Nothobranchius furzeri: one gene and its partners. The protein of the gene in region 1 purifies or fractionates together with the protein of each later gene. This does not show direct contact. Links are inferred from orthologs where the notes say so. Each region holds a gene or a part of one and is shown on either strand. Other genes may lie near its edges. The genes, in order: srprb, srpra and rnf185.

Region 1 (7,479 bases):
TCCTGCCACAACTCCGGCTCATTTTCCTCACGCTGACCGTTGTGGCTCGACCCTCCGAGTCTGTTTTCAGCTCAGAGTCTGCGGTCTGTGGGATTCATGGAGCAGCGCTGCCCAGTGCCGAGAAACCAGCTACTTTACAAGCCGTCCCTCAGGATGCTGCCCCTTAAATATATTTTGTTCCTTCCTTTTTTGGGAAGTTTTAGCCATGATGATATTCAAGGAGGCAAGGAAACTGACTGTGTTGTAAAAGAGGGATAAAAGTGAGAGAGAAGATGACGCAGAAGAAGAGGCATCTTCCAGAAAGGTTAAAAACCTACAAAACTAAGATCCTCACAGAATTTCTTCACTAGTGTGATAGTGAGCTCTCCATACCGACACCATCAAATGAAAAAAAGGGCTCTAATGGTGGAAAAGCTGTCCACTGCTGCTACGACAAACAAAACCTGTTAAGGAAAATGAGCTTAATTGTCCCAAAAAAGGAAAAGATCAACTCACCTTCATGACACTCATCTCCCACAAACCCAGGACAGCATCTCCACTCCAGTGAGGTGATCTGTTTGTAGGTGATCTTGAATAATGGCTTGATGACAGTCCTGTAGCTGGAAGAACAAAGGGGAAAAACTGCTATATTTTAGGGAAATTCCAGATGTGCACAAACTTAAATGCACAGATGTGATCAAAGTGACAAAGATCTGTTTTAGATTTAGCTTTGTTTATACACAACACAGCATTAGCTCTGCTAAGATCAACCCTTTCAATCTCAGAATGGGTGCAAATGATTCATGACAGTTTCAGGGTGTTTTGATCACTAAAGGAGCCCTGCTTCATTTCCCTAACTGACTGTAAACAGGAAACCAGCAGCACTGGGAGCTGAAGGGGGCAGACCAGTGAGGACTCGGAGGGTACCTGATGACTTTGGCACATGGTCCCGGCCATCTGCAGCCCAACACTCTCTGCACGGAGGTTTCGGTCCCGTTGTGCACTTTACATGGAACAGTCCTGGAGACGGTGTGCTGGCACCAGTTCCTGCGATGCACAATGAAAGAGATCAAAAGCAACTGGAAGTAACCAGTGCGATAAAAAAATGCTCCACTCAACACCAACAGAGTTTGCAGAAAGTGTAAATAAAAAGTGTACCTGAGTTGGTTCCGGGATCCAGAACCTGGTGGACCCGTGGTTCGGCTCTGTTCCGACTTGATGCGCGGTCGCTGCAGGCTGATGCCTGGAAAGTGATAGATGAACCCAGTTCCGAGGGAAGCGCACACTAAACTCACCCACACGCACAGCGCGTAGAGGTAAGACAAAGCCATGCTCTCTGAATGACAGAAATATTCAAAAGAAGTCGATGTTTTTCAAGTAAATCCGTCTTTAATGACGAAAAAACTACAGTACTTTCACAAAGAGGAGTAATCTAAGCAGATCCCGCTGAATCCATCAGTGGGGGTTTGTCATTTCTTGTTCCGACGAGAAACAAGCTGCCCCCCTCAAGAGCCCGTTATGAAGGACACTCAGCCATTTCCTATAGAATAACTTCTCTCTGACGTTTGACATCCAACCGAGGAGTCAAATATCCAGTGTGCGTAAAAAACGTGCAGACTGTGAGGGCTGGAGACGTGCGTAAAAACGCATCTGGTCTCAATTGAAAACAAAAATAAAATAACAAGATTCCATGTTACAAAACTCATGCTTTTAGTCTGTTTCACATTTATACCTTGATTGTTTTCACATGAGGTCTTCTACAGAAACATCGGCAAGGTTGGGAATAAATGAGGACTAGAAAACACTTTCTGTTCGCTTTTTCAAAAGGACTCCAATAAAATCTAACCTATATGCGGTAGTTCGCCTTTAGCTACATATAATACAGTTTAAGATGATTTACAATTATTAAAAATAAAAATAATAAATAAATGCACCAAACTCAGAAATAAAGCTGAATTTTTATTTATAATCTCTTTTCACTTCCCTTCACGTGAGGCCTACAATGTCTACTTAGTTTAAGAGGGGAAAGCTATCTTTTTTACAGTATGTTCCTATTAAAATGTACGTTCCAAAAAATATAGATAGTTGAATTATTATCTCAGAGTTATCACATATTTCATACTTTTATTTGGGGAAATGGATTTGTAAAAACATGAAAAAACATGTCTCTTACTTCTTAATGTTCATAAAGTAAAACAAAATAAAATCGAAAGTGATATTCATTTTTTCCGAGAGAAAACTCTTATTATATTTATGTGATTATTATTATTGAGCAGCAGCTCTGCAGCGCCCTCTGCTGTTCACTCAAGCTCGCCACAGGCTCCAGGAAGCAGACGTGTCCAATTTCAGTTACGAACAGCAGCAGTGGAAACATGGGCGAAAAAACACACAAGGACTCACCTGAAAACCCGTTTGAGCCTTTTATTGAATCTCTCCGTCAGCAAGTTGAAGACCAAGACCCAGTAATTCTGATCGGAGTAATCGTAGCTTTAGCGGTGGTTGTCATCACCTGCGGTAAGAAGGAACCGTAAGTTAGCTTAGCATGCTAGCTTTAGCAAACTAGCCTTAGCGTGTAGGCTAGTATCATGCCGTTTCAAAGCGGGTTTCTCAGTAAAGCTGGAAAAAACGTTTTCAGTGTGTTTACAAAATGCTCAATTAACACGCAAGAACAATAAAATAATATCTCTTAGCTGCAACAGTGTAAGGAGTCATTCAACTTCGGTTTTAGCTAATAAAAATATTGAATAAATAACAATCCTTTCCACATTTCCTCTTTAGTTTTCCTGAAGTATTTTCTAACCAGTAAAACAGTCCAGAGTGCCATTCTGTTGGTCGGATTATGTGACTCTGGGAAAACCCTCCTGTTTATTAGGGTGAGTTGATGTTGGGACCACCATGGCCACGTTAGCACTGTCTTTCCTTTTCATTAAAAGTGTTTTATTTGTTTCAGCTGCTGTCAGGGAAGTTCAAGCGGACACAGACATCCATCACTGACAGTAGTGCGCCATACAGAGCTAAAAATGAAAGGGTAAGTCTTCTTTTCCTTCTGCATCAAAGCATAAAACTGTTATTATAGGTTGACAATGATTGACAGCTCTGTCCATAACTTTTAGAGCAGCTCCTGGACACTGATTGACCTGCCAGGACACGATAGTCTCCGGTTTCAGTACCTGGAGAAGTTCAAGTCTTCAGCCAGGTGAGAACAGCATAAGTGCATGGTTCAGTAATCTCTTCATTGGTGCTTTTAGCATATTTGTGCACAGTTTTGTTGCAATGCAACAACTCTTTTCCACTAAATAGGATTTAAAACCAAAAAAGAATCAAGCCTAATTATTTCCTCATGAGCCCATTCTCATCACCACTCTAAAATCTTACCCTTTCTTTCTGCAGAGCCATTGTGTTTGTTGTAGACAGTGCCATCTTCCAGAAGGAAGTGAGGGACGTGGCAGAGTTTCTGTACATGCTGTTGACGGACACCGTGATCTCCAGAAACGCCCCGACTCTTCTGGTGGCGTGCAACAAACAAGGTGAAACAACCTGTTTACTTTAAATAAACAACTTAAATCACCTCGTTGCGTCAGTCAAACTAAACCGCTCTTCTATAAACTGGAAACTCTTCTGCTGCTTTTATTTTGATAGACATCACCATGGCCAAATCAGCTAAACTGATTCAACATCAACTGGAAAAGGAGCTGTAAGTAAACCTAATTTGATCAGATTCCTGATTATTTTTAGCACAACTGTTATAATCTCTTTTAAGAGAGATTGCGAAGTCACATTTATTAAAAAATACACGAATGAGGGAGATGCTGCAATCTTTCTAGGATGTAATTCTAGACAAAATATTGTTTTTGAGTGGCTTCAGACAAAAAAATTCACAACCCTCTTTAGTCGTTGAGGATAAATAAATATCCCATTTAGTCTCATTAACAGCACTTTTTAAAAATCTCCTGGCCATTACACAAATCAAAGTCAACATCAAACTCATTCCTGAGGGTTAAAACTGCTGAATGGAATTCTGAGAATGTCATTTTTCTGACAGAAACACCTTGCGAGTGACTCGCTCGGCAGCCCTGAGTGCTCAAGACGGCTCTGTGGGCGGCAGCGTGTATCTTGGGAAAAAAGGCAAGGACTTTGAGTTCAGCCAACTGCCCATGAGGGTGGAGTTCCTGGAGTGCAGCGCCCGGAGCAGCAGCAAAGGTGAAGAGGGGGAAGCGGACATCGAGAGCCTGGAGAAGAGCCTGGCTAAGCTATAAAATCAGCAGCGAGACACAATCGGCGTACAACTTCAACAGGAGTGACGGGTCACCCTGCCCGACGTAAAGACATTTGTCCTCGTGTAAAAGTAATCAGATTTACTTAAAGCTTGTCTGAGCTGTGAAACACTGAAAATAGATGAGCACGAGCAGCATTTCAGTCTTTGTTATTCATATAAAATGTTAAGTTTGCAGAATAAGTGTTCTTGTTTGAAAGTGTTATATATGAATACAGTGAATTTAAGAACATAAGTTTATTGCGCTTAAGTTTGAATCAAACTTCTTTATTAAATAAAAAAAAAAACAGATGAGACAGGTTGATTAACATTTAAGCACAAAAAATACGTTTTCTCCTCAAGCGTTTACGTTTCAACCAAGTTGTGTATGTTTTAAGCAACGTGTCTCCCTCAAGACAGATGTGGGTTTTTTGTTAGAATAGCTGTGTTCAAATATCTTCTAGAGCAGCTTTCTTTGAGCTTTTGTTTTCTGACATCTGGTGTGGATTCAGAAGTTTTGTCACTCTATAAAAAGAGCTGCAAACTTCAGTTAAACATTAAAAACATGTTTCTCCAGTCAGATGTGGTTGTTTTAAATGTAATTAGTGTGAGACAAATGGTTTATTTTACGAGATGACATGTTTAAAATACCACACAGCGTGTTTTTATGTTAAGGACTGATGTTTCATTCACATCACATTTATGTGATTCTTGTCTGCTGTTGATCTGTGGTGTTCTGTTTGCTCAGACGTCCCGAGTGTTAAAATAATCCAACAAGTCAACAGAAGAAGACATAAATCTATGGCTGAGACAGCGGATAGACCGTTAGATTAGCACTCTGATCTGCCACTATCACATTTGGTTCTCCTTTCAGAACCACAGGACACAACCAGTTCACTTTGTCCCCATGACTAATGCTCAGTTTGGGTCCAGACTCCTCTTCCTCATTTGCAGATGCTTCATCTTCCACCTTGGCCTCTTCTTTCAGCTTTGATTTATCCAGAGTCTGGTCCTTTCTCTTGACCTTGCCTTTCCTCCGCTGAGGAGCTGTTGTTGGAGTTTTTCCCTCTGGAGACACAACCGGGTGCTTACTGAGGTCCCACAGGGCCACGTGGCTGTCGTTTCCTCCTGTGACCAGCCAGTAAGGGTGGGAAAGGAAACTAACAAAATGAGCTTGTGAAGCTCCCTGACTGTGTGCCTTGATCGCCCCGTGTTGTTCTAATTTAGAGCCACTGCCGATCCGCATCAGATGCACCCGGCCGTCCTCGGCTGCGCAACCCAACATGTTTCCGCAGCTGGACACAGAAACACAGTGGGCCAGTGGTGGGTTAAACAGCTGGCCCGGACGCTGCTGGTGGCCGTCTTCTTCGGCCACATCCTGGAGGTTGATGGTCCAAAGAGGGCGAGTCTTCTGCAGACCCCACAGCATCACCTGAATCAAAAACAAACTCTTCTAGTTTACAGTTTTTGTGCAGCGGTTGAAAACAAACATGATTCCCTCACCTGCATGTCCAGCCCAACAGACACAAGGTTGTTGGGTCTGTGAGGACGGAAGGCCACTGAGGAGCAGATGTTTGTGTGTCTACGTAGAGTCCTGCACACTTTCCCACCAGGAACCTCCAGAACGCGCACCGTCCCAGAGTCATCAGCCACTGCCAAGGCAGAACTGGTTTCATTCAGTGCTAAAGCATTAATCTCCTCCTCGCCTGCTCCCTGAAAATCCTCCACAGGTCCTTTCAGGTTCTTGGGGTCCAGCACGCTCACCGTGTCCCCATGTGACACAAACAGCTGGGTTGGGCCTGCAGGTGAGAACATCACGCTGGTGATATCCTCTTCTCCAGGAAGAGTAAGACGGCCAATGATGCCACCATCTTGACCCCAAATGGTCACCTCTCCACCCTCAGCACCTGAAGCAAGGAGACCCTCTGGGCCTGAAGACGCACTGACGCAAAGGATGGAGGCGGAATGGCCCTCCGACCACTGCTTGGCCATACTGCCTACATGAAATGTAATCAGGAGAAAAGTAAACGTAGCATGCTAAAATAAAGACAAACATTACATTTAACCAAGAAGGACTTAAAAAAAAACTGTATTTTACTACCAAAAACAAAAAAACTGAAAAAATGAATAAATAAAACTACATAAAAAAGTGTCCACTACTTTTCTTCACTTTATAAATATGAACAACTGATCCCAGTCACTAATTTATAATATACTGTAGATTTCTGGAAGAAATTTAAATAAACAACAATTTACTACTGTACACACAAAAAAGACTGTCAGGATCTGCTCTTGTCTCCATTTTCAAGTGTTTATTGGATTCATCTGCCCCTGGTTATCGTACCTACTTGATTTATGTATACCCCGAGCTTGATTAAAATTTAAAGTCCCAATAGACGTCACACACACTGGTGTGGCAAAATTTCTCCCCAGCATTTGACCCATCCCTGTGGGGAGCGGTGAGCTGCAGACACTGCTGCACTCGGGAACTCTGCCACACTTAGTGCTGAGTGTCAAGCGGGGAGGCATTGGGATATGACCACCCAACCAGGGATTTGAACCCCAATCGGATCTCCCAGTCTAAGGGCAGACATTCATAGCACTAGGCCACTGAGCTGGTGTGTTGTCTTTGACAGATTCTCACCGTGTCAAACCTGATTTGCCACCCTACCTACCATTATCCATATTAAACTGTTCTTTTGCCTGCTAGTCTGCTGCCTGTCCACCTGCATTTGGGTCCCAGTTCAACACTCAACATTGTGACAGTGATAAGTAATATAAAACAAATTAAATGTAATACAGATTGAACGAAGGACAAATCTGAGTTAATATTCATTTGGTTTAGCTCTTAACTGATCACTATTTCTAAAACTTCATATTTATTGTCATACTATATTTTGGACTAGTTTTAACACTCTTGACAGCTAATCTGGCTTCATGTTTGTTTTATAGACTGTAAGGAAAACACGTTTTTCACCTGCCAGACTCGTCCTGTCTATGTACAGTCTATGGTCTATTCACATTGCATCCCATAAGCATGGCTGGCCAAACTACATTATCACGTGTTTAGCTAAAGCTACAATACCATACTAAATGTGTTTGTAGGAATAGCGTGGTGGTATTTTTAAAATGGACCTAAAGGCCAAAAAGCATCAGTGAATTTAAACAACAATAATTGTACGAATCTGTTCAACCCCAGGAAGCTGATAGTTTTAGCTCCGCGGCTAACTCGTTAGCCAAAAGGCTAA
Region 2 (6,548 bases), about 17 Mb from region 1:
ACTTCAGGGATCGCTATAAGAATGAGCTGGAGCAAAAGGGCACTCTGAAGCTTCTTAACAGCACTTTTGCGTTTGAAGATGCATTCAGCGAACTCCTCAAGTAAACAAGACCAATCTGACTTTGCACACAGCTTCTGTTGAGTGTAAAAGGGTCCTTTCAACTAACCTGGTCCAGTTAGTGTAATAGGAAATTTCCAGCTACATCTAGACCTGATTACCATCAGACCTGTAAGATTAAGAAACTACTTTAATATGACCTGCCTGACAGAACAAAGTAGGCTGAAACGTCTAGCAATGTTCAAAATCAAAGGAACGACATCGGTTGAGGTCAGAGTTAATGTTTCAAAAGTGGAAAATACTTGAGAATCCCGCTGATCAGGTTCCTGATTGTCTCCAACACATGCTACTCCAGGTTGCTCATTTTCCCCTAAAAGAAAAACAGTCTGACATTTGTGGTGTGGTATTTTACAAGTGCTGACAGCAGATTTTAAAGCAGCAATACATTCAATTCAAGTTCAATTGAATTCGAGTTTATTTATAAAGCGCCAAATCAGGACTAGAGTCGTCTTAAGGCACTTCACATGGTAAACATTCCAATCCAGGTCAGTTCATTAAGCCAATCGGTAAAATGTTTCCTATATAAGGAACCCAGCAAATTGCATCGAGTCACTGACTAGTGTCAGTGTCTTTACAGCAATCCTCATAGTAAGCAAACATTTAGCGACAGTGGAGAGAAAAACTTCGTTTTAACAGGAAGAAACCTCCAGAGGATCCTGGCTCAGTATAAGGAGCCATCCACCACGACTCACTGGGGATCGAGAAGACAGAGCAGGCACACACACACACACCCCAAGTAGTGTTTCTATGGCTACATTGTGATTTCTTAGTAAATATTCTATTTGGTGAGAGGTAAACTTTATTGTATTTATCCTAGTGAATCTATAATTAAACAGGTAAACTAGTAGTAGCACATCCAATGTCAAAGAAAGTAAAATGTTATTATCAGGAGAGGGAGAATGTTTAAGTGGTTAGCAGCAGTATTCAAGCCAATGGCCCCCTCCACGAGGCCACCACAGCTCAGCAGAACATCGTCGTGGCTTCTTCTGGGGAGAAAAACACTTAGAGAAAAAAATAAAGTTAACAGCTGAAATAGCATTCCTTGCTTCTCCCTCCTACTGGTTGAAAGCAGAATTGTAATTGCTGTAAACAACTCTGCTGCAGCCTGCTGTAGCTAGCGCTAACATTAGCAACTGCTACTAAATGGAAACATGAAGCAAAACTCTGTTGGACAAAAACTATTATGACTTACAAGTCTAGTAGCAACAAAGCCAGGTCATCATCAGTCTGTGATTTCATAGCCTCCTTCAGACCATCGGTGTAGATTAGCTCTTTACACTGGTGGGGACTTATAAATCTACCCCTTTATAAGTCAAAAATGTTTCAAATATTTCATGTGTCAGGCTTTAAATGATAAACTGTCTCTAAAGATAAAAGTCTGAATGGAAGTTGGCGAGCGAGAGAGAAAGAGAACCATGTGACACTGGAGGAATTGTTGGCTCTTTGAGTCTTGTGTGGTTATGTGTCTTAAAGTGGAGAAAGTTCAGAAAAGGGTTGAGTGATCATAGAAGACAAATGAAAGATAACTTTACAAAGTATCGCTATTGCCAGGTGAGGAAAGGATGGATGCCTCAGCTGAGACAGTATTTTATGCCAGCAGACAGTCGGATGTGTTAACCGGATGTAAAATCATCTGAAATGATGTGTTTCACTAAACTAAGTCTTTCTTTGTCCTGACCAAAATCAACCAACACAAGACTGGCGGAGGAGAGCAGTAAAGCTCGGAGCCCCGTCCCCATGAGGTCCTTTAAGGAGTCCGAGAAGTCCCAAAAAACTGTGAAGTCAATGATAGAGACTAAGGGTGGAGACAAGGGCAAGGAGCAAGGTGGTAAAAAGAGTAAAAATACCAAAAAGGAGGGTGAGTGCTGTTTGTTACGAGTTGTAGTTCGCATGTTTGGTTCGTTGCTTCATTCAGTGGCGAATGTGTTGCAGCTCCTGCAGTTGAGCCTATCAAAGCTGATCAAGGCAAGATCACAGCTGCTGACCAGAAGACGGTTGTTAACGGCAACCAGGGCTTGACTCCTGAGGAAATCATGCTGAAGAAAAGGGAGGATTTTATCCTCAAACGCATGGGAACGTGTGAAAAACCCAAGTATGGCAGCTTAATTAAAGGTTTAAAGTCAGATAGAAAAGAGGATCTTGTTTTTAATTGCTTTCTGGTTTTGTCTACAGAAAGTCCCCGAAGCCTCAAAAGCCAAAGGAGAAACAAAAGCGCGTGTGGGACAATGCTGGCAGCAGTGACAAGAACCTGGACTACAGCGACAAGAATGGAGCCGGTTCTGGAGATGGAGAAAAGAATCTGGAAGCACAGTTTGACCCAGTATGTTCCACCTCTAAAGAGCTTGCTGTAGGAGCAGAAGCGTCCGCTTCCCTCACGATGAAGAGGGTGCAAATAAAGTTCCTGAATGTGTTTTAGGAAATGCAGGTCAGCTCTATGAAAGGAGACCTGCTGTCTGTGGACTACGACTCCAGCGAGAACGGGGAGGAGGAGGAGGAAGAAGAGGAGGAGGAGGAAGAAGTGGTCATTAGGGGAACAAGCAAAATAAGGTACTTTTTTTTTACTTTATAGTTGAAAAATAAATTGTCAAATCTCAGTTGTTAACTCTTCTTCTGCCCCCCCCCCCCCCCCCCCCCCCCCCCCCCAAAAGCCCTAAAAAGGGTGGTGGTTTTGGGGGGATGTTTGGGATGCTGAAGGGACTGGTGGGCTCCAAGAGCCTGTCCCGGGATGACATGGAGCCAGTGCTGGAGAAGATGAGAGACCACCTCATTGGTAAGATTTTTTTTCCACCCACTCTTTGACTTCTGCAGACTGCAACATTTCATTCTTTGCTAATCAAGGCTGAGCAGTTGAGCAAAATTCTATTTCGAGTTTGATTTTAACTCTAAACTTCCACAAACAATTGCAGAAAACACATTTTACTCAGCAGAAATGATTCCTTTCTAATTACTCGCATTTTGCCCCTTCTGAAAGTTAAGCTCATGTGTTTGTTTGTTTTTTGGCAGAACAAGGGTAAAACACACAGGCATGGTGTCATGCACCCTCCTTTTATCAGTAATGACCCCCACACAACCCATTAACCTTTTTCTGTATGGTTCTATTTCCAAACAGCTGACCAAACACATTTTTTATTTACCAACTTCCTGTTTGGACATCTGGGCTCCTGTAGCACTTCTTCTCTGTTTTAATAGCAATGCTGTTTGCACTTGTTTTTATTCATGTGATAGATAAGTCAGGTTGAAAATTGAGGGTTTATAGTGTCTAAAAGTCCAAATATCAAAACAACATTCCCCCTAAACTCAAACTGGTCTTTGTTTGTCTTTATGATTCCACAGCAAAGAATGTAGCGGCCGACATCGCCTCCCAGCTGTGTGACTCTGTTGCCAAAAAGCTGGAGGGCAAAGTCATGGGCACGTTCACCAGTAAGTACCCCATTTACCCCGCTCACAACTTAAGAATGACCTTTTGGATCTAGACTCTTTTACAACAACAATGATCTCAGTTAAATAAAGCTGGTCTGTTGTGACGTCATCAGATCCAGTTTGTGATCACATTTTATGTCAATCCATTATAGTTATGGTCTCTAACAAATGGTGTGTGTGTGTGTGTGTGTGTGTGTGTGTGTGTGTGTGTGTGTGTGTGTGTGTGTGTGTGTGTGTGTGTGTAGCTGTGGCCTCAACAGTAAAGCAGGCCCTGCAGGACTCTCTGGTGCAGATCCTGCAGCCCAAACGCAGGGTGGACATTTTGAGAGACGTCATGGAGGCCCAGAGTCAACGCCGGCCTTTCGTCATCACATTTTGTGGTGTCAACGGAGTTGGGAAGTCTACCAACCTGGCAAAGGTGACTTTGATGGTTTTATGGTACTTCTAGCTTGTTGGAGTCTATATTTCTAGAGTTGTTTAGGACTTGAGTGAGTGACTGAGGGCTAGTGTGGACACGAGCATAAACTCCTCCCTGTCCTGGTGCAGATCTCCTACTGGCTGATAGAAAACGGTTTCAGCGTGTTGATTGCAGCGTGTGACACCTTTCGTGCTGGAGCTGTAGAGCAGCTTCGTACTCACCAACGCCGCCTGAACTCGCTGCACCCCCCGGAGAAGCACGGAGGACGTCCGGTGGTCCAGCTCTACGAGAAGGGCTATGGGAAAGATGCTGCTGGGATTGCTATGGAGGCCATTGCTTATGGTAAAATATTTAGCCCTTTTGTTGGTTTATCTCATCCTGGCCTGCCAGACTCGTCCTCTGTCTACACAGAGAACTTCCCATAAGGAAGCATGGGGCTGGCTGGTCAGGCTAGGTTTATCTACCAATGAGTCATTAATCTCCAATAATGAATCAGTGATTTCCTCTCATGGCTGTTGGTAAAAGTCCCTCTTTTGTTTTGCCTCTCCATTAGCTCGCAACCAGGCTTTTGATGTGGTGCTGGTGGACACCGCTGGGCGTATGCAGGACAACGCCCCGCTGATGACAGCTCTGGCCAAACTCATTGCAGTCAACATGCCTGATTTAGTGTTGTTTGTTGGGGAAGCTTTGGTGGGCAACGAGGCAGTCGATCAGTTGGTAAGATCACCGATAATCTTAAATGACTTGGTTATACGCATTTCTGTTGGTGGCTAAATTCAAATGGGTAGTTACAGATTTCCATTCGGGAAGTTTATTAAAAAGTGTAACGTCTTGTTTTCCAGTAAAAACCAAACTGCTGATAGTTGATCGTTTATATACGGCTGTGGATGAAATCATTGGTACATTCTCACTGAAAGAAAATCACAGTGGTCGGTGAAATACCTCGAAAATGGCAAAAGTAATAAATAAATAAATAGAATTTACTACAAATTAAAAATGTATGCTTTTAATTTGGGATTTAACAAAGCAAAATAAAACTGGCCATTTGTGAGGAAGTCACCGTGCCTTTTGGTATCGGGGTGTGTACCACACTGGTTATGAAACACCGAAGGCTAGAGGACCGTGTCCAAGCAGCTACAGGCTAGAAGATCCTCTCTAAACAGTGTGATGTTTCTATGGTTACAGGCGTGTATTATTCAGAGGTTTAAAGGCCCACAGGTCTGTAGTTAATCTCTCTGGCTGTACACAGTCCAAACCTTGTTGGCAAACTAAAGACACGGATACTGAGTGGTCACCAAAGACCTTAGAACTCCAAAGTCTAGGCTAATCATTGTCAGATCACTCCATCAATCCCTGTTTGAGCCAGAGAGAAGACGACTGAGGAGGACGCCAGTGTCTCAGTCGCTGTATTGGGTCCTCTCCTCGGTCAGGATAACAACCAAAAACACTTTAAAGCCTCTAAGAATGCTTCAGAACCACACATGGAGTTATTCTGAAGTGACGTTCTATGAGTCCTGATCTGAATCTGGTTGGATATCTGTGGAAGGAGCTGAAACATCTGGAACCCTTCAGTCTGAGACAGTTGGAGCAGTTTGCTGTTGAAGAATAAACCAGATGACCTGAGAAGTGGTGCAGATGTCTCACGGAGTTCCAGAAATTACACGATTCTCACAAACAGCAAATCGGTGGTCCCATCATTTCAATCCAGGACAGTTTCATTACCTTGTTGAGTCTGGCAGACCAGGCTATCATTCAATATCCCTGAGATTGTTGGACTGTTGTCATGGTGACGGCAGTGAATAGAGATTTGAGTGTTTTGGGTTCCTTATGATAACTGTCCAGCAGAGGTCAGCATCACCCCCTTTTAGCTGTTTTTCTGTTGATTAGTTTGTGTTTACACAGGTGTGTGTGCCTCCCTTCCCCTTCCTTTAAATAAACATCACCGGCCTTTTCAGCCGCGTCCTGATCAAATTTCACCTGCATCATTCTGTTGTCCTCAGGTAAAGTTCAATCAGGCGCTGGCAGACCACTCCATGTCTGACAAGCCACGCCTGATCGACGGAATTGTTCTCACGAAGTTCGACACCATCGATGACAAGGTTTGATATTTTAGTTCTTCCCCCGCACTACTGGTGATGTTTATGAACGCAGTCTGGTGTGTTTTTGCTGCTAATGTTTGTGTCTGGCTCATGATTTTGCAAGTAGAAAGCAATAGCACCTTGAGCGTCATCTCCTCTTCCTCACAGGTTGGTGCAGCCATCTCCATGACTTACATCACAGGCCAGCCCATCGTGTTTGTGGGAACAGGGCAGACCTACAACGACCTGCGTAGCCTGAACGCCCGCGCCGTGGTCAGCGCCCTGATGAAGGCTTAAAGTTGTCTGCATGTTCGGTTGTTTCCAAGGAGGCAAACTAACTTAAACGTGATCCAGGATGTCTCACCCATCTTTTCACATCTGTTTACTACCCGTCTGCATCAAAAATGAACTCTTCTCACGAGATTTGATTCTCCTAGTGTCAGGAGAGACGGGGCTGTTCTTCAGCTGAGGCACACGGGAATGACCTTTTTGCAGAAATGAGTTCGAGGAGAGCT
Region 3 (7,479 bases), on another chromosome or scaffold:
CTTTTTCAGAAATCTGGACGGAACCAACTTTTTTTTTTAAAGCTGCAGTCTCATTAAATGCACATGATCTTAATTTCAGCAAAGGTAAACTGTTTGGGTTTTTTTCTTGGTTCTTAATGTACTTTCGTTTTGGGGTTGTCCGTTCTGATACCATCATGGTTCTTTTTAATCTATTATTTTTTCAACTTTTGTGAAACAATTAGCCTACGTATGTGTGTCACTTTTAGGCAAGATCACAGGAAAGTGAAATGAGAAGTTACATTCAGCATGAGGAAGCTCATGGAGAGAGGTTTATGAGCGACACACAAAGTAAGTATTCAAATATAATTCATTTGATTTTCCTTTTTAAAAATCTGTGTGATATGTAGCTGTCTAACAATAATATTTTGTTTTATATTTTAGAAAAACCAACAATGGCGTTGGATTATGTTGATTATGAAGATTACAGAGGCAGCAATGAAACAGAGAACATCACAGACGACCGCGAGGCTCCTGATTTCAGCAGCTCCCAGTCCTCCTTGATCTATTTTCTTGTGGCTGTCGATATCATTACCTCAGCTGTTGGTCTTGTAGGAAACCTATTAGTGATTTGGATCTGTGGGTGGAAAATGAACAAAACAGTCCTCACTACCTGGTACACCAGTCTGGCTGTTTCAAACTTGTTCTTCTGTGTTTTTCTGCCCCTTGACATATTCTACATAATGACCTCACATTGGCCTTTTGGGCAAGTTTTGTGCAAACTCTCATCATCCGCTCTGTTTCTCAACATGCACAGCAGTGTGTTTCTGTTGGTTTTGATCAGCGCTGACCGCTGCATCTTGATTTTATTTCCTGTGTGGGCACACAATCACCGGACAGTGAAGAAAGCTAACGGAGTGGTCGCTCTCGTGTGGCTTCTCGCTGCCCTGCTAACGTTGCCCTCGCTCATCTTCAAGGAGACCAAAGTCCACGGTCCAATCATTCAGTGCCACACGGAGTATGGGAGTCGTTCCAGACACAAGGCAGTGGCGCTGATTCGGTTAGTCTTTGGATTCCTAATTCCTTGCCTGATGATCGTGTGCTGCTGTGTGGTGCTTGGAGTGAAGCTGAGAAGTTTAACCATCAGATCAAAAAAGCCTTATAAAATCATGGTGGCGCTCATCCTGTCATTTTTCTTCTGTTGGATCCCTTATCATACCTTCATTCTCCTGGAGCTGGACTTTAACAAACACAGCCTGAATGTGCTTGAATCTGGCCTGAAAGTGGGGGTCGCCCTGGCTGCGTCGAACAGCTTCATATCCCCCATTCTCTACGTTTTTATTGGCAGTGACTTCAATCAAACTCTAAAGAGATCGCTGACCTCAAGGTTTGAGGATGCGATGGCAGAAGATCTGCGTACAGCTGGTTACAACCAGTCAATGTCCAGGTCAATGGAAATCCATTAAAATTAGGCTGATACGTTTGTCTTTAACTTAAATTAGGCCTTTAGTGTGCCTAAAATGTAATTATTAGAGATGAGGAGAATAACCGTTTCTCTCATCAAAACAAATACTATTGTAACGGAGTTGAAAACAACTTTTAATCTTGTATATTAGAACAATAAATAAGAAAGGAATGAGAAATAAGACTGTTTCTACAACGTGAATGACTTTTGTTTGTTTTATGTTGTTTTTTTCATGTTTTTGCTAATTGAGGGTAAAAAAAAGAATGTGGCAGCATTTATGATGATTTATTTATAATTAATGTTATAAATCGTAAATTAATAATTTACTAACAAAAATAGATTGTGCCTTTGATTTGTGTATCTGTTTTCATAGAAATAGAAAAGAAACAACCAACTGTGATTGCTGTTGCTTTATGGGTGCGATGGATCAGCAAAAATTACTTTTTAGACATAGTGTCGAAATAAAATTTGTGATTTTTTAAAAATAAGCCTTACCTACAATAAACATTTACAATGATGAAATTTAACTCATAGAAAAAAATTAAAAAATACCAAATATGGGTTGTGCCTATACGTGAGGATTTATTTTTCTCAGCTTTGGGATTTGTGTAACATCTTTCATGAAAATAACTTGGTTTTTGCTTAGAAACAATACTGACATATTTAAAATAGTCAATAAACATGAATTTTAAAAATTAAAAACTAAGTTAAATAGAATATGCAAAATTCTGAGTTTAAGGTGCACATCAGTTTCTGCTCAAAATGGGTTAAATCATTCCAGAATATCCAAAAGAAATTCTCAAAAAAGCTGATTTAAAGTTTCATTCTTGATACGACAAAAGGAGCAAAGAAGGTAAAACCCTTATTTGTTTTATTTAAATTTTATGACTGAATTAACAATATACCATCTAGCAACTAGGGCTGCATGATAGAATAGATTGCGATATCGGCATGTGCAAAACACGTATCACAATGAACAGAAAACATCACAATAAATGGTCAGCTCAAATGCTTGCTACACATAATGCATTTTGTCAATCAAACAGAAGCATATGTTTTTGACAGATCAAATAGAGCCTTACCTATTTGGCATATCGGGTGGATTCTATAGGTTAGATGCCTGCCCCCTAGGCGGACGACACTTGACTTTGATGGCTAACATACAAGTTAGCTTTGTTTTGCTCTTTCTGCTGATTTAGCTTTTCCCAGGATCTACTGATTGCCTTGTCTTATTAGTTGTCTTTTCCTTTTTCCTCACATCTTTTGATCACAATTTTTGCTTTGCCCATTTTCTATATTTTTCTATTTCGTTGTATTTTTTATTTTTATTTATTTATTTTTGTTTATTTCTAGTCATATCATCATGGAGATATTAATCGCTGTTATCGCGCATTGCAGGTTTTCCTAATATCGTGCAACAGTACTAGCTACATGTTTCTGGGATACCCCCGTATGTACAGTCTATGGATACCCCTCAGACAAACATTATCTTGGCGCATAAGCAAAAAATCACTCTTATAGAAGGAATTAAACATCAGTCTACAACCAACTTCTTCACAAACCTATGTCAGAAACAATAAATTCCATAATTATGAGAAGACATTGTTTGTGCAACATTCTCCATCACAAGAGTAACTATTAGTAAGTTTTTTGTTTTTGTGTATCTACTTTTCTTTACGTCACTAATCCGGACACAAGGTAACCCCACCCCCTTTAGAAATAGCCACGCCTTTTAAAGAAACAGCCACGTTTTTTTTTAGTCCTACTCTTTTTTAGGGCTAACACCCTGCGGAAGTGTTGCAACCAGCTGTAAGGCTATTTTCGCAACAAGTCATAATTAAGTTTTAATGAGGCTATGTTACAAAATGTATGTTGAAATATTCCTTTAGCCACTGTAATAATTGTATATGTGGTTCGGTTTACGCCTCAGTTCGTTTAGCCTTTCTCCTAGCTTGCTAGCTGCTAACGGTAGCATAGCTATCAGATGACACAAAGTTAGCTTTTCCTTTCTTTTATTCAGGTTTCTTAGTGGGAGACCACTTCTGTCAGTTCCTGTCACTTTCTTATGTGTTTGACAGGAACGAACAGAGCCATCCCAACCGTATTAGCTTGAATATTGGACCGACTTTTAGCAAATAAATGGCCGCCGCTGCCCCCTCTCCACCAGTCTCTGGCTCCACCGTCTCGGCTCCTGAAAACTCCGGCCCGGGATCCAGTAGCTCGGCAGCGGCCGACGGAGGCAGCCAGGACAGCACCTTTGAATGCAACATATGCCTGGACACAGCGAAGGATGCCGTGATCAGCTTGTGTGGCCACCTTTTCTGGTAAGATTTAAATATGTTACTTATGTTTACATTGTGAAATCAGAAACCACCTCAGTTTTAGCGGCTGGACACAAGTGAACTAAACTCAGCAGTACAGCATGAACCAAAATGTTGTCTCCGGTTTTACCACTTCAATTAAACTGTGCGGAAAAAACAGTTTTAAGTTCTACCAGGTCTGTCTAAGAAGAAAGTATCATTTCTATAGCGCCTCTCAAGATAAAAATCACGAGGCGCCTATGAGCCATTTATATTCCTAACATCAATAATAAAAATACTTATTTCACAGTTTGCTTCAGCAAAAATGTTTGAAGATTGCACGAGAATACAGTTTCACTATTGTTTTTAGTGTTTTTCATTTTATATGACTAATCAGAAAAAGTTTACATTTTTTTAAAGTTCTGGAACATCTAATTAATCCTCTTATTTTGTCAAATAAAGTGGCAGTTGCCAATTTACTAGCTGATTAGGTAACTTATCTGTTTTCTTTTAGCTGATGTTTTTGTGAAATCCTTGAATCTCTTTCAAAACAACATTTTAGTCATTTTTATGTCCAAAAATTTGCTGATGAATTAGCAGCCAAAGTGGTCTGATCAGTGTTCATACAAAGTAATTATTTGTTAATTTTCTCTTAAATGTTATCCAGTATGTTTGAATTAGTATGAAATATTCAAGTAGAATTAGTGTTTATTTTTATTGTCCTTAATTGGGGTTTTTTTGACAAGCAGTTTATCTAATGTTTGTTTTCATGAATATTTTCCAATGTGGTTTTTTTTTTTTTACTAATCCTGTTTTTTTTTTTTTTTTCACTTCCATGAACTTCATTTGCTCCTGATGTTCAGCTGGCCATGTTTGCATCAGGTAAGCCTGACTTAGATTTTTTTTCATTTACAAAGATGTTCCCCTAGCTAACCCGTTGACTCGTTAACATCCGTTTATCTTCATGCAGTGGTTGGAGACTCGACCCAACAGACAAGTGTGTCCGGTGTGTAAAGCTGGCATCAGCCGGGACAAAGTAATCCCCTTGTATGGGAGGGGAAGCACGGGTCAACAGGATCCTAGGTAGATGCTAAAAAGTGTTGACATGATTTATTGTGTCATCACACTTCTACATTAACACACTTGTGGTGCAAGAATTATCATTATGTTAGTGTTTTACGGTGTATATCTGATTTGATGCTTCAAAGGGAAAGGACGCCCCCTCGACCACAAGGACAGAGACCAGAGCCGGAAAACCGTGGTGTAAGTACACAAACAAATACATCTGCACAGTTAAACCATCATTGTGAATAACTACATTAAGTTTCGTGTAAGCTCTAGAGTATTATAATGAGCTCATGATGAAACCGTGAGTCAAAAATGATGTAGGTGCTGCCGTTTAGACCTGTTTTATTCATGACTGAAAAGCCATTTCCCTCTGGGACCCATTACTAGTGAACAGCTGAGATAAAGCCCCTCATGAGAATCACTACAACTTTTACTGCTCATTGTGTCACACTTTTTTTTTCTTACTTTGTTATATGACACGTTTTCATTTTTTTCTAAAAATCCCTGCAGGGATTTCAGGGATTTGGCTTCGGAGATGGAGGTTTCCAGATGTCCTTTGGAATCGGTGCCTTCCCGTTCGGTATTTTTGCCACGGCTTTTAACATCAATGATGGACGACCTCCTCCAGGTGGTTACACATTTCCTCTGTGTTCTTTCATTTCTTATGAAAACAATTTACCCAGTAACTTCTGTTGAACTTTCACCCACACAGCAGCTCCTGGGACGCCGCAGCACACAGATGAACAGTTCCTGTCTCGACTCTTTCTGTTTGCTGCTCTGGTCATTATGTTTTGGCTGCTGATTGCATAAATGCATGGGGGGAAATGACAGAAGTGCGGCTTTGTGAGGTTTCCGTCTCTTAATCTTTGGCAAAGTTTGGACATTTAAACAGCAGGTATGATAAATGAACAGGCTAAAGGTTAAAGCTGCAGACTTTTTGCTGCTCCGAAGGAAAAAATGCATGTGAAGATCGGGAAGTTGTGTATTCTCTTCACTTCTTGCTGCAAAAATCTCAGAAATGAATTAATGAAAAAAATATATATTTTGACTCACTGGTTGAATAACTACTTTGTAATCTGCACAAGAGCAACCAGACACTGACTTGTGAATCTTCAGCTATTTATTGTGAAGCAAAAATAATTTTTTGCACAAAACTTTAATGCAACTTAATGATTCTAATGATTAAGATGTTTGTTTCCTGGAGAAATGACCAATAATACCTTTGTGTTTTTGGCCAATAGCAGCTAAGCTAAACCAGTATCTTAGCCGATTTTTTTAACTTCTTTCAGATGGAAGCGAAATTCAAAGAACTTTATTTCAAACAGTGTTCGTCTCCAGACTTTATAATCTTTTATTTCTACTCCAGTTTCTGTATTTCACTGTAATTATATGTAAAATATTGTAGACTTCATAATCAAAATGAAGAATGGCTGCTGGAAAAAACATGTTTCCGAATGTGAGTTTTTTTTTTCTACTGACGGTGAAGCTTTGTGTGATTTTAATTTGGGTTCATTAACTGTGTATTCTACAAAAGTGTGAAAGTGCAGGCTAGAGACAGTTCAAGATTTGTCCTGTGTTCCTGCCGCTGTCCTTTTCTCTTGACTCTCATCAGGTGAAGTGCTGAATTCTGCTTCATACATGATCTGCTGGATCTTCATCTTTGTTTCGCACCTGGTCTGGGGTGCGAGTCGTTTCAGAGCAGGAACGAAGCTCAGCAGAAACAGTTCGTCCTCGTCCCGCGGCCTGGACGAAAACGAGGTGGTGTGGTCTTTCAACAGCCATTTTGATTGGGAGTGTGTACTTTGAGGAGAAGAGGGTGATGGCGGCTCAGACATGATCTTTCGTTTCTGTCCGTTGTTGCTGACCGGGATCACCTGTGGGCCGGGGGGGGTCTTGGCTACGACGGCCAGCTGGATATCTTGAGACAGAGCAGGAAGCTGCGTCACAAACGCCACCTGGGGCTTCGCCTCAGGCAGACTCAGCGCTACCTTAGTGATATTCTGGGGTGTTTTGACAGACTCGGACAGAGTGGTTTCCTCATTTCCCAATACGTTGTCAGGGTTTTTACGTTCTTCTTCGGTGTTGCCACACATGTCAGTCACACCAACCCTCGATCCAGTGAAGGGGGCAATAAAGTTCATGAGCTGTCGGTATTTCCATTTACTTTGCACAAAACCCCCCTGCTTCTTGGTTTTGATCTCTAGTCGAACTTCCTTCAAGTATCGGTCTCTCAAATTTTTCCATCTTTTTTTGCACGCATCACCTTGAAAAGATAAGAGTCAAGTTAGCCTACTGCACAAAATGCACCCTAGATGTTCAATACAATGCACACTGAGGTTCGAAATGCTAATGCTGTGGTTAAAGCATTGGTGATCGAGTAGTCCTTGAAATCAAACAGGTGAGCAGATGATTATGTTTGTGAATCTTAGTCAAATTATAATGATAAAAACTTCAAATACGTATAATATTTGTGTCTGGGAAGGTTTGAGACGATCTTAAAACTTTTTGGTGTTTATCCAGAAAAAAAATCTGTTTACTAAAGTTAGTGGTGGTGAGTTCAGGTGAACTGGGTTTAAATATCTTTTTGGGGCCAAAAGGCAAAACACATTTTACCTAAGTAAAAACCAGGCGGCATTGTTACATAACTGTTAATGTTGGGTCATCGTTTTTTTCTTCGTGTTAAATCTG

Evidence for each region.
Region 2: the proteins of srprb (region 1) and srpra purify together in Homo sapiens (affinity purification with mass spectrometry; 6 studies listed by BioGRID and IntAct, counting the BioPlex papers as one, with this or other methods). This does not show direct contact. The link is inferred for Nothobranchius furzeri from reciprocal best matches to the Homo sapiens genes SRPRB and SRPRA.
Region 3: the proteins of srprb (region 1) and rnf185 purify together in Homo sapiens (affinity purification with mass spectrometry; 3 studies listed by BioGRID and IntAct, with this or other methods). This does not show direct contact. The link is inferred for Nothobranchius furzeri from reciprocal best matches to the Homo sapiens genes SRPRB and RNF185.

What each region holds. Positions count from the first base shown.
Region 1 is NC_091753.1:42,151,816-42,159,294, reverse strand, and holds srprb (signal recognition particle receptor subunit beta), read left to right. Parts: upstream 1-2,131; 5' UTR 2,132-2,351; coding exon 2,352-2,493; intron 2,494-2,757; coding exon 2,758-2,852; intron 2,853-2,929; coding exon 2,930-3,007; intron 3,008-3,092; coding exon 3,093-3,175; intron 3,176-3,369; coding exon 3,370-3,506; intron 3,507-3,618; coding exon 3,619-3,673; intron 3,674-4,021; coding exon 4,022-4,235; 3' UTR 4,236-4,811; downstream 4,812-7,479. Other genes in the region: col26a1 (collagen alpha-1(XXVI) chain), read right to left, coding at 496-599, 907-1,026, 1,138-1,310; wdr53 (WD repeat-containing protein 53), read right to left, coding at 5,031-5,663, 5,735-6,228. UniProt on the Homo sapiens protein: Component of the signal recognition particle (SRP) complex receptor (SR). Ensures, in conjunction with the SRP complex, the correct targeting of the nascent secretory proteins to the endoplasmic reticulum membrane system.
Region 2 is NC_091753.1:25,184,764-25,191,311, reverse strand, and holds part of srpra (signal recognition particle receptor subunit alpha), read left to right. Parts: coding exon 1-100; intron 101-1,814; coding exon 1,815-1,975; intron 1,976-2,049; coding exon 2,050-2,209; intron 2,210-2,289; coding exon 2,290-2,437; intron 2,438-2,533; coding exon 2,534-2,664; intron 2,665-2,765; coding exon 2,766-2,887; intron 2,888-3,450; coding exon 3,451-3,537; intron 3,538-3,782; coding exon 3,783-3,955; intron 3,956-4,083; coding exon 4,084-4,297; intron 4,298-4,508; coding exon 4,509-4,672; intron 4,673-5,955; coding exon 5,956-6,054; intron 6,055-6,201; coding exon 6,202-6,330; 3' UTR 6,331-6,548. UniProt on the Homo sapiens protein: Component of the signal recognition particle (SRP) complex receptor (SR). Ensures, in conjunction with the SRP complex, the correct targeting of the nascent secretory proteins to the endoplasmic reticulum membrane system.
Region 3 is NC_091746.1:52,068,272-52,075,750, reverse strand, and holds rnf185 (E3 ubiquitin-protein ligase RNF185), read left to right. Parts: upstream 1-3,138; 5' UTR 3,139-3,232; exon of another isoform or gene 3,233-3,501; 5' UTR 3,502-3,562; coding exon 3,563-3,747; intron 3,748-4,586; coding exon 4,587-4,605; intron 4,606-4,693; coding exon 4,694-4,806; intron 4,807-4,931; coding exon 4,932-4,986; intron 4,987-5,301; coding exon 5,302-5,419; intron 5,420-5,503; coding exon 5,504-5,601; 3' UTR 5,602-6,236; downstream 6,237-7,479. Other genes in the region: chemerin-like receptor 1, read left to right, coding at 228-309, 403-1,424; transcription factor Adf-1, read right to left, coding at 6,351-7,054. UniProt on the Homo sapiens protein: E3 ubiquitin-protein ligase that regulates selective mitochondrial autophagy by mediating 'Lys-63'-linked polyubiquitination of BNIP1.